3 linked regions of the Oryctolagus cuniculus genome follow. The protein of the gene in region 1 interacts with the protein of each later gene in a biochemical or structural test. Links are inferred from orthologs where the notes say so. Each region holds a gene or a part of one and is shown in the gene's direction. Other genes may lie near its edges.

Region 1 (3,645 bases):
CTTTCTCTCTCTCTCTGCCTTTCAAATAATTCGACAAAGCGGCTAGATGTTGTAAACCACCAGGCTAACCTGGTCTTGCCGTGGGGGTGGTCAGGGAGGGCTCCCTGGAGGAAGCTGACTGGGATCTCATTCATTTATTCACTGCATTCATTTGTTCAACTATTGAATCACTGCATTGCCTCGCAACCGCGTCACCCATCGGGGAGGCGCTGGGTGCAAAACAGGAAAAAAGAAAAATAAACTCCCCGCCAGGACAGAGCGAAGTGGGGGTTGGGGATGTGGGAGCGCACCTCTAAGCCAAGGAACGCGCAGATCTTTCTGGAAAGGGGCGGCTGCCCAGGAGGAAGTGAACCTGCGAGGGAGGAGCCAGTGCCCCGGCTTCAAAACAAGCGGAGAAACTCTGTCCGGCCTGGCCGCGCGCGCGCCCCCTCGCCCTGTGTCCGAGCGAGCGTGCAGCAGGGACCTCTCTGGGGCCCCTGCGCGCTCAGCTGCCCGCCCACCCAGCCGTTATTGAGCGCCTTCTGCATGCATCAGGGAACCCTCCAGGAAGACAGAGACCCCGCGGGGTGGGGGGAACGCGGTGTCCTTGGGCACATTGCCCCCGACCCCCCACCCCGGCGCCTCGCAGAGCTGGGGCCTCGGGGTGGGCTCCCCGGACCCAGCCGGCGCTTCCTAAGGCCCCTCCCCGCGGCCCCCCGAGAGTGCGAGCGTGGCGGGGGGTTTATCCCCATTCAGCAGACGAAAGCTCAGACCCGAGCCGGGAGCGGCGCCGGGCGGTGCGGCGCGGACCCGCGGTCGAAGTCCATCCCAGAGGCCCCCCGCCCCCGCCCTGAGCGGCCGGGAGGCGTCGGCCCCTTTAAGAACGCCCCGCGGAGCCAAGCAGGAAGGGGGCGGTGCCCGCGCCCGAGACGGACGTGCGCGCAAGCCAATACGCGCGGCAGTGGCGGCGGCGGCGGCCAATGAGCACAGCGGGGGTGGGGCCCGGCGCCCGAACCTGGTTCCCGAGGCGCGGCGGCCGCGGCTGGGGGCGGGGAGGGGGGCGCAGGACCCCAGGCGGGGGTCCCGGAGCCGGAGGCACGTGTCCCGGGGCGCCGGCGGGGTCGCGCTGGCCGGGGCCACCGTTCGGGCCTCGGCGGGTTCCGGGGCTCGGCGCGGCGGGGGCCGCGGCCGATGGGCGGGGCGAGGGGCCGCGGGGGAGGCGAGCGCGGGGCGCGGGGGTCGGGGGTGCCTTAGGGGGGCTCGGCCTGCTGGGAGCGACGGGGCTGGCGGCCCGAGGGAGCGAGGGAGAGCCCGCGGGGGGCGCTGCCGATCGCTGCGTGCAGGGCCGGGGGTGCTCGCGGGGGTCGGGGGGCTCTGAACTGGTGGCGTCAGACGGGCGTGGGGCGCTGGGGGCGTCCCGGGGGCGGAGGGTGCTGAGGGTCGGGAGGGGAGCGGCAGGGGACGCCGGGGCGACCGAGCGGCCGTGGGGGGGGCTGGCCCGGCTGGGGGCGGGGGGCATTCGTGCGTTCGCAGGGGGTTGTGGGGGGCCCGAGCCCCGGAAGCGGCGGGCAGGTGAGGGTTAGGGAGGCGGTACTGCGGGTTCCTGGGCGCTTGGGGCCTGAGGGAGCCTGGGGGTCGCTAGGGCTAGGGGCTCCCAGCAGGCCTGGGCAGGGAAAAAACTAGGAACAAGCCAGGGCCAGGCCGGGCGGGTGGGGTGGGGTGGGGGTCTCTCCCTCGAAGGCTGCTTGGTGGGGGGCCCAAGGGGGCCTGATGGAAGTGGGTTAGCGCCAGGGTCCCCGAAATAGGAGTTGGGGGTCAGGATTAGCTGAGGGTGAGGAAGGAGAAGGCTGGGGCGGGGGTGTGGGTGGTGGTGTCCATGTCTGTCGGAGGAGCTGGCTCCCCTGGGGAGAAGGGGCAGGTGGAGGTGGGCAGGCCCTGGCTGGAATCCATTCCCCACATAGCCTGGGAGCCCTAAAGATGGCTTCCCTGAGGCCTGGGGGTGCTCCGTCGCCCCCAGCACCCGCCCTTGGCATGCAGTCCCAGAAAGCCCCCAGGGTCTGTCCCTGCCCTGCGATTGCTCCGTGTGACCTTGGACCCCTACCTTTGCCCCGCTGGGTCTGTTTTCTAATCTGCAGAATGGGTGGGGGGGCTGTGTGTGGAGAGGGACGGTTCCTACTTGCTGAGATGTTTATAAAAATTAAATAATCATTAGCTCTAATAATAGCTAACACTCTCAGCCTCATGCCTGGCGTTTGAGGCGTGGGTTGTTTTGAATTCCCTTCCGGGTTGTTGTACCCACTGTACGGATGAGAGGACTGAGGCCCGGGAGTTCCCGAGTCCCCCTGCTAGTGGTCAGCCCTGGGTGTGTGTGGGGAGGGGTGGGACAGAGGAGACTCCGGGGGGCTTACCTCCCTCCTGTCCGTCCCCCCTGTCCCCAGGGCCAGTTCCCGTGCCCCCAGCACCATGGCTTCCTGCGCCGAGCCCTCGGAGCCCAGGGCCCCGCCGCCGGCTGGGGTCCCGCCGCTGGAGGACTTTGAGGTGCTGGACGGGGTGGAGGAGGCCGAAGCGGAGGAGGAGGAGGAGGAGGACGATGACCTGAGCGAGCTGCCGCCACTTGAGGACATGGCACAGCCCCCGCCGGACAAGGCCGAGGAGCAGCCGGGGGCCCTGGCCCGGGAGTTCCTGGCTGCCATGGAGCCGGAGCCCGCCCCGGCGCCGGCCCCCGAGGAGTGGCTGGACATCCTGGGTAAGGAGCGGCGGGGTCTGGGGCTGACCTTGGTGACAGCCGCGTGACAATTGCTGAAGTCCACTCCTGGCGCTCTCGCTCTCTCTCTCTCTCTCTCTCACACACACACACACACAGAGCTGCCAAGAGGCCCAGGGAGGCTGAGTCACCTGCCCGGAGCCGCACAGCAGCCCGGCGCCCGCAGCTCCCTGCCCCCACTGCATCTCTGCCCAGCCCTCGGGTGACACTGAGGTCGGGTTGTGCAGTTGAGCCGTGGGGTGGGGTGGGGGTGGGTGGTGGGAGCTGCTCCATGCGGTCTTTGTGAACCGTTCTGAAGGCAGGGACCAGGTGAGCCCGCCCCCCCATCCCGGGACTCATTAGTATTCCGTGGAGGGCGTGGGTGTCTCCCTACCGAGCAGTGCGGTGCCCACGCGGGTGCGGGGCCGACAGCGACACCCCAGCCACGGCACCAAGGAGCAGAAATGCCACCACCCGCACCGCCACTCATCCGAATCCCCGCTACCTCTAAAAATAACCCCAGGGAGTACTGAGGCTGGCCTGGCCTGCACGCCTTTTTTTTTTTTTTTTTAAGATTATTTATTTGAATGAGACAGAGAGGCCATCCGTCCACTGGTTTACTCTCCAATGCCAGCAGCAGCCGGGGCTGGGCCGGTCTCCTGCAGCCGGGAGCCAGGAGCTCCATCCCGGGGCTCCCACGTGGGTGGCAGGGACTCGAGTCCTTGAGCCGTCACTGCCGTCTCCCAGGGTGCGCGTGCGCAGGGGGCTGGCTCTGGACGCAGGGCTGCTAGGACTGGAACCAGGCGCTCCGATACGGGGGTGCGGGCCCCGTGTCTGTGACCACCCCATCCCCATTTCACAGATGCTTGCCCGAGGTCACACAGCGCCCCCTGCCGGTGCCTGCGGATAGCTGCCGAGCTCCC
Region 2 (3,645 bases), on another chromosome or scaffold:
AAAGGCAGGGAGACCAAAAGGTAGATGGAGAGAACAGGTTCATTCCCCAAGTGCCCTCAACAGCCAGGAACTCAATCTAGATGACCCATGTGGGTGACAGGAGTCATCTGCTGCTTCCCAGGGTGCACAGTAGCAGGAAGCCAGGACTCCCACCAGGCCTTCCTCGAGAGGATGTGGGTACCCTTTGTGGAGACCCAAGCACTGAGCCAAACACCCACCCCAGGTCTTTGAATTTTTATACAGCTTAGCCAAAGTCGTTATTGTATAGATTTCAGATTGACACATAGGCAGAAAGAAGTCCCTAAAATGTTTATATGTAGAACTGAAAACTTCAATTTCAAGATGGCACTGAGTATGTAGTGTGCTAAGGATAGAGCAGAAATGCAAATAACTCTCGTAGAGCTGTGGATTGATCTGTTGGAGGTACAGAGGATAGATTGACAGTTAAATTCAGTTGTGCCAAGTGTCAGAATCGTATCTCTGGGGCCGGCACCATGGCTCACTTGGCTAATCCTCTGCCTGCGGCGCCAGCATCCCATATGGGCACCGGGTTCTAGTCCCAGTTGCTCCTCTTCCAGTCCAGCTCTCTGCTGTGGCCCAGGAGGGCAGTGGAGGATGGCCCAAGTGCTTGGGCCCTGCACCCCATGGGAGACCAGGAGGAAGCACCTGGCTCCTGGCTTTGGATCGGCGCAGCGCCAGCCATAGCAGCCATTTGAGGGGTGAACGAACGGAAGGAAGACCTTTCTCTCTGTTTGTCTCTCTCACTTCCTAACTCTATCTGTCAAAAAAAAAAGATTAATAAAGATTAATATCTCTGGAAGTGCATAGGAAGGCCACCCAGATCAGAGGTCAGGGAAGGTTTCCCAGGGGAGGTGTCGACTAGCCATTTCTCTTTAAACATTTCAGCCAATCATCTGTGATATTCCCAGTGACTCCAGTCAAAGGGAAGGGGACAGGGAAAAACCTGGAGAGTTGTGAGATTTTTACATAATTGCCTGGGGAATCACTGTGAACAACCTGGAACCAACACTGGAACACTGGCAAGGGGGCCCAAGGAGCTGGACCTGAAGATGAGCCTGATGAACATTTTTTTCTGACTAGATTATAGCTTTAGGCTCAACCTCCAGGAAGTCTTGACCAGGTGGTGCAGTTCCTTTCCATTTTAAACAGTGGCCTCTTTAGGTGTTTATTCTTGTTTGGCTGTGATTTGCCTAGCTTTATTCTCCTCCCAGATTGTAAACACCTCAAGAACAAGGTCTGGCTGTATTACCTGCTCTGCACCTAGGGTCACCACAGTTCCCAGTGAAATAGCTGCTCAGTCAATATTGGTAGGAGTGGATGAGTCCATGTAACTTCAGAGAATGGTGTATTTAAGTAAATAATAATTCTGGAAGGAATTGAGTTTTATAATCAAGTAATTATGAGCATATCAAGCCCAGTCTGAAAAGGGAGTCCCAACAGTGACTGTGGCATGAATGGTGGAGTGATGATAGTGATAAATGAAGACACTGTCTAGCAATGTATTAAATTCTTTATATATTTTTCTTAAATTCTTTACAAGACATTTGTGGATGTTATATTAAGTGTTCAGCTTTCAAATACAATTAGCTATTAGACATGAGCCATTTATAGTAATTTAATCCAAATGACTTGTTGAAAGGTATCCATTTTAAGGGCAGTTTAAGTAGATCATTAGGATATATAAACGTTTAATAGTTTTCGAAACATTCAAGCATCATTTTAGGAATTAAATTGAGACAATATTCATGTTTCAGCATATATTTATAAAACCTCTCAAACAAGAAATGAATTTTTTCCTTGCAGCAGTGCAGTACTTAGAATCTCAGCTTACATCATACCTTGTTAATTGATATGGATTTGTGAATAATTTGATTCAGAATTTTGTTTCACTGAAATAGCCCCCTCCCCAGCTTAATCTTAGAGCATTTTTGGTTACTCATGCTTACATATTTGTCTCCTTTCCTAGGTAAATGGAGGTATACTTCGAATTTTTCCAGAAGGCAAAGCCCAGTTTGCTGACATTGAACCTAAATTTGATAGACTGCTGTTTTTCTGGTCTGACCGTCGCAACCCTCATGAAGTACAACCAGCATATGCTACAAGGTAGTATTTCTTTTAAGAAAAAATATGTTACAAAAACTATGGTTGGATGGGAGAGGATAATTTGAGTAAATTTGAAAAATTTCTAATGAGTATTTTCCTGTTCTCCAGGTGCTTTTTATTATGTTTTATAGTCATTTTTATTTTAAAAATTGTATATGATTTATTCATAGTTGGTACTAAATGCTTGTGTATTTCTTTGCACAGTCACTCCTTGTCTTGGATAAGAAAAGGAAACTTCTCACCCTTCTAGCCCTGTCTCTTGGTGATTTCATCTCTGAATTATTGCCTATCCTTTGATTTTCTGAGGGTATTCACTTGGGTGATGGAAATACCAGATAGGAAAGGAGAAGGGCAGAGGTAATGAGAAGGGCCAGTATTGTGGCATAGTATGCTAAGCCTCTGCCTAGGTGCTGGCTTCCCATATGGGCACCAGTTTGTGTCTCAACTGCCCCTCTTCCAATCCAGCCCTCTGCTAATGGCCTGGGAAAGCAGTAGAAGATGGCCCAAGTCCTTGGGCCCCTGCACCCATTTGGGAGACCTGGAAGAAACTCCTGACTCCTGGCTTCTTATTGACACAGCTCCAGCTGTTGCAGCTATTTTGGGAGTGAACCAGTGGGTAGAAGACCTTTCTCTCTGTCTCTCCCTCCCTCTGTCTATAACTATACCTCTCAAATAAATAAATAAAATCTTAAAAAAAAGTAATGAGAGAAAAAATAAAGAGTAACAATATGGAAAAATGGATAGAGTAGAAAAAAATATGAGGTAACTAGGGAGTAGAAGTGAAGAGAAAAAACAATAGAGGAAAGAAAAGTAGAAGAAAGATTGCCATATGTGTGAGTTAATGTTGGAAAAATAATCTTTTAGCCTTATTAAGAAGCATATGTTTTATTATGTCCTTTCTTTACAAGGTTTAGTACCCTAAATGTTTAATTCCTTTTTTTTTTTTACCATTTCTCATAACTCAGTTTAAATGTGAAGACTGTTAAAACTGAAGTTGTTGCAGATATTGCTATGAAACTAGGTATTTGTAGAAAGAATACTATTTTCTAAATATCTTTTTCATTTCAGAAAGAACCTAGAATATTCTGATAATGAATTCCAGCAATCTGTTTTAACATCTGGCTTAGGAGATGCAGAGGGATGTGTGCTGGAGAGAGGATGCACACCCTTAGAGACACTGGGTTTAGTGCTGATGTTAGAGTCCAGTCAGCTTGCGTGAGCTTCTGAAGACTTGCGTGTCATCTCTCCCTTTTTTCTCCTTTCTGAGTCAAGCAGCCTTCCCGCTAATTCACACAGAGGAGCAGGCTGAACAGTTGGTAGCCAGAAATCATAAAAAGTCCTAAATGGAAACCAGAGAGAATCTTTTCTCTTGGATCCCATCCCTCGTCCTGAAGCTCAGTGCCTGCCTCTACCTCCCACTGCAGACTCTTTAAATGTTTTCTGACCCAGAAACTGCTTCATAGACCTTCTTTTCAATGAGATTTTGAGCTTGGTTTGATTGTATCCTTTTTAGATGAATAA
Region 3 (3,745 bases), on another chromosome or scaffold:
GGGGGGGCCGTCGGGCGGCTCAGAGGAGGGCTCTTTCTTTCTTCTTTTTTTGAATGAACAGTGACGTACGTACAGGAAACCAGTCGGTTTGTGAGGAGAATGAAGTCAGCGGCCAGGCCCCCGCCCGCCCCCTTCCTCCCCGCCCCCGCCCCTCCTCCGCGCGCCGCGCGCCCGCCCGCCGGCCCGCCCGCCCGCCGCTCCCGGGGTCCCCGCCGCGCCGCCGCCGCCGCCCGCGAAGGTGCCCGGGCGCCGGGCCCCCCGCCAGCGGCCGTCAGAGCGCGGAGCTGCCGCACGGCGCGACCGGAGGAGGCGGCGGCCGCCGCCGCCAGCGCCCCGGCGCGGGAGCGGGCGGAGCAGAAAGGGTGCGCAGCCCGGAGGCGGGTGCGCCGGCGGGTGCAGCGGAAGAGGGGTCCAGGGGGGCGAACTTCGTAGCAGTCATCCTTTTTAGGAAAAAGAGGGAAAAAAAAAATAAAACCCTCCCCCGCTCCCCACCCTGGCCGCACCACACACGGCGCGGGCTCCTCGCGAGGCCGGCGCGTCCTGCCTTCATTGATCCGCAGCTTTTCGGAAAACGCGTCGGCTGCTCTCGGAGTTGAATCAGAAGAGGACCCCGCGCCGGCCGGGCCCCGTCGGCGTCCGGGGCAGAGTCCGCGCCGTGCCCGCGCGGCGCGCGCGCCTGTCAGTGGCCGAGGGGAGCCCGGACGGAGCGCGCTCCGGAGCTCGGGGCCGGATTCCTGCGGATTGACGTTTCTGAGGAGCAGAAACCCGGGGGCCAGCCTGGAGACCCCCCCGCCCCGGGGTGCCTACACCCGCGCCCGCCGCCTCCCGATTCATTCGGAAGTTTCCAAGCGGCTCTCACCCGGGAGCTCCGAAGATTGATGGGATCCTTGCCTTATGCGTTTGTTTTGGTTTTGCAGAGAAGGAAACTGGACAGAGGGTCATGCTGTCCTTTAAAAACACAAGTAAGTTCTTTGCGCAGCAGATCGGGCTCGCGTAACTTTCGGTGGCGGCACTCGAGATGCTAACTCGGAGTGCCTTCGAGTAAATGTGAATTTTCAGGCAGTTGAATGCGTTGTTTTTAGCCGTGTGGCCCGCAGCGTGCATGCCCCCGCTTTCTCTCCGTGTGTGCCGGAGAACGCACCTGAGTTTGGCTTAACCAGGTTTTGTTTTTGTTTGTTTGCCTTTTTTTTTTTTCCAACCTTCTAGCATCACGTAGGGAAAAGACTGGCGTTCACCACGCTTATGAATGATAACGTGCCTCGTGAAACAGAGATCCGAAAGGGATTTGAGTAAAAATCTCCTGCGCCTGCTGCCAACGGGGAAACACCAGAAGCGAGGGCTCCGCGTGACTGAAGACACCCCCGCGCCCGAGGATGCGGCGCGCGCCCGGGAACCCCGCCGGCTTCTGAGCGGGCCCGTGCGGCGGGACGCGGCCGGAGGCACCGCGGGCGCCCAAGGGCAGCATGGCGCACGCCGGGCGAACAGGGTACGACAACCGGGAGATCGTGATGAAGTACATCCACTATAAGCTGTCCCAGAGGGGCTACGAGTGGGACGCTGGGGACGCGGGCGCCGCCTCCGCGCCGGGCGTCTTCTCCTCCCAGCCCGCGCCCGCTGCGCCCCGGGACCCGGCCGCCAGGACCTCGCCGCCGCCGCCGCCGGCCGCCGCGGGGCCCGCGCTCAGCCCGGTGCCACCTGTGGTCCACCTGACCCTCCGCCAGGCGGGCGACGACTTCTCCCGGCGCTACCGCCGCGACTTCGCGGAGATGTCCAGCCAGCTGCACCTGACGCCCTTCACCGCGAGGGGGCGCTTTGCCACGGTGGTGGAGGAGCTCTTCAGGGATGGGGTGAACTGGGGGAGGATTGTGGCCTTCTTTGAGTTCGGTGGGGTCATGTGTGTGGAGAGCGTCAACCGGGAGATGTCGCCCCTGGTGGACAACATCGCCCTGTGGATGACTGAGTACCTGAACCGGCACCTGCACACCTGGATCCAGGATAATGGAGGCTGGGTAGGTGCCTGTCTGGTTGCACGTGAGTCTGGGCTTGCGGTCGCAGGTCCGAGATGCCGTGGCGAGGGTGTGGGTGGACCCCGGGGGCCGGGGCAGACTGCAGAGCCCGTGAGCTAACAGCAGGTGTGTCACTTTCCCTGCTTTCCCTCCAGCGCGCCCTGCAGGAAGCGCACCCTGCCCTCCCAGCTAGGGCAACTGCTTCCCGCCAAAAGTGGTGTGCCAGCCCTGGAGGCTCCCAGATGCTGCCTTTGCGGCCCAGTAGGATTTTGTGATGCATGGTCCTGCCTTCCCGTGCTTCTCAAACTGGGGCTGCGGAGTCCCCAGCACCACAGTTACGTGGCCTGGGTAGTTGAAATCGCAGGTTTCAGGGACTTGGTGTGGACCAGACACACCGCGCATCCCACGACCACCACCACCCCAGGGCGAGGCCCTGGCAGTCTGCATCCTAAACAGGCTCCCCTGGTGGATTTGTCTTTGTCCTAAAAGTTGTAAGCCACCCCATCGAAGAACAGACTCCCCCAGAGGACCAAGAACATGTTTGCCTCACTGGGTAAAAACTGCCCCAGAGGAAGCCCAGTGTAACCCCTTTCCCTGAAGGTCTTAGCTGTGTTTGTGAAGAGGTAAGTGGACGTAGGGAGAGCCGGGGGAGTGTTCACCTGCTGGTCGGGCCGTGACCCAGTGGACACGATGGTGTGCATTGAAGGGCAGCAGTCTGTGGATGCGCTGCGTCCTCTTGTCAGTGATGGGGTTTGGATTGGCTGCAGACTTTGTGTGCTGTCCCTTGTGTCGCATTTAGAAGTTTCCTGGAGTTTTACCATCTCTTACATTTTACCACCTAGACGCCACATGATTTTGTGGTCTCTGCTTACATACACCACACACACTCACAGAGAAACTTGCACCTAGGGAAACTATGTAAAGCGTAGAAGAATTGATCTTTAGCTGTGGATTCTTTCATGCGCTGACCAGGGTTGAAGTGATGAGCAGCTGTGACTTTTAAGAACCTTGGTAAGACGCTTTTTCTCCCGCTCCGGGGCGGTTGCTAGATAGAGCTTCGATCCTGTTCACCACGCAGTTGTATTTTTCCATGATGCTCTGGGACTGGGGTGCGGATCCCAAGACTCAACGGTGCTTAATTAAGATTTCCATCTCTTACCTAAAAGGATTAATTTATGAGAAAGTAATCATTCTTGTCTGGAGTTTTGTTAAACTTTGTTTTTAGTCTGAAGAGTTATCTTGGAAGAAGGATGCATTTCTGTGAGCTCTTCTATAGTCTCTTAGGAGAATGACTCACATTATAGAACCTAATGGGATCCAAAAGCCTAGACGTGACTGCAAGAAGCACATTTCTTCATTTTTGCTCCATTTTTCAAAGTATGCTAATATTAAGGGGCCAAAAAGAGACGGGGCCAAGAAATGTAGGTGATTGATGTGGACATCTGATATTATTTGACCAAAGTTGACAAAATATTGATGCCACTGTTCAATGTTTGAATGTAAAATTAACTAAAATATCCCAATTTAAATCTCTAAAATTTAATGACTCTTTATGGATTGTTTGTTGAAATCCCACATTATCAGGTCTTTAGTGATTCTGGAGTAATTTGCTAAAGGATGAAAAGAATATTTTTGTTAAGTGTTTAGTTAAGCAGCTGGTTTGATTTTTAATCACCATAACCAAAGAGGAAGGGACTTGTAGACTCCGCAAGGATCATTCTAAAACCAAAGTAAAACTG

Evidence for each region.
Region 2: the proteins of FKBP8 (region 1) and EGLN1 form a complex in vitro, tested with the Homo sapiens proteins (2 studies listed by BioGRID, with this or other methods). The link is inferred for Oryctolagus cuniculus from reciprocal best matches to the Homo sapiens genes FKBP8 and EGLN1.
Region 3: the proteins of FKBP8 (region 1) and BCL2 form a complex in vitro, tested with the Homo sapiens proteins (4 studies listed by BioGRID, with this or other methods). The link is inferred for Oryctolagus cuniculus from reciprocal best matches to the Homo sapiens genes FKBP8 and BCL2.

The regions. Positions count from the first base shown.
Region 1 is NC_091447.1:65,700,678-65,704,322, reverse strand, and holds part of FKBP8 (peptidyl-prolyl cis-trans isomerase FKBP8), read left to right. Parts: intron 1-929; exon of another isoform or gene 930-1,074; intron 1,075-2,417; 5' UTR 2,418-2,442; coding exon 2,443-2,725; intron 2,726-3,645. UniProt on the Homo sapiens protein: Constitutively inactive PPiase, which becomes active when bound to calmodulin and calcium. Seems to act as a chaperone for BCL2, targets it to the mitochondria and modulates its phosphorylation state.
Region 2 is NC_091444.1:50,887,966-50,891,610, reverse strand, and holds part of EGLN1 (egl nine homolog 1), read left to right. Parts: intron 1-1,987; coding exon 1,988-2,124; intron 2,125-3,645. UniProt on the Homo sapiens protein: Cellular oxygen sensor that catalyzes, under normoxic conditions, the post-translational formation of 4-hydroxyproline in hypoxia-inducible factor (HIF) alpha proteins.
Region 3 is NC_091441.1:15,291,313-15,295,057, forward strand, and holds the start of BCL2 (apoptosis regulator Bcl-2), read left to right. Parts: upstream 1-1,326; 5' UTR 1,327-1,463; coding exon 1,464-2,009; intron 2,010-3,745. UniProt on the Homo sapiens protein: Suppresses apoptosis in a variety of cell systems including factor-dependent lymphohematopoietic and neural cells. Regulates cell death by controlling the mitochondrial membrane permeability. Appears to function in a feedback loop system with caspases.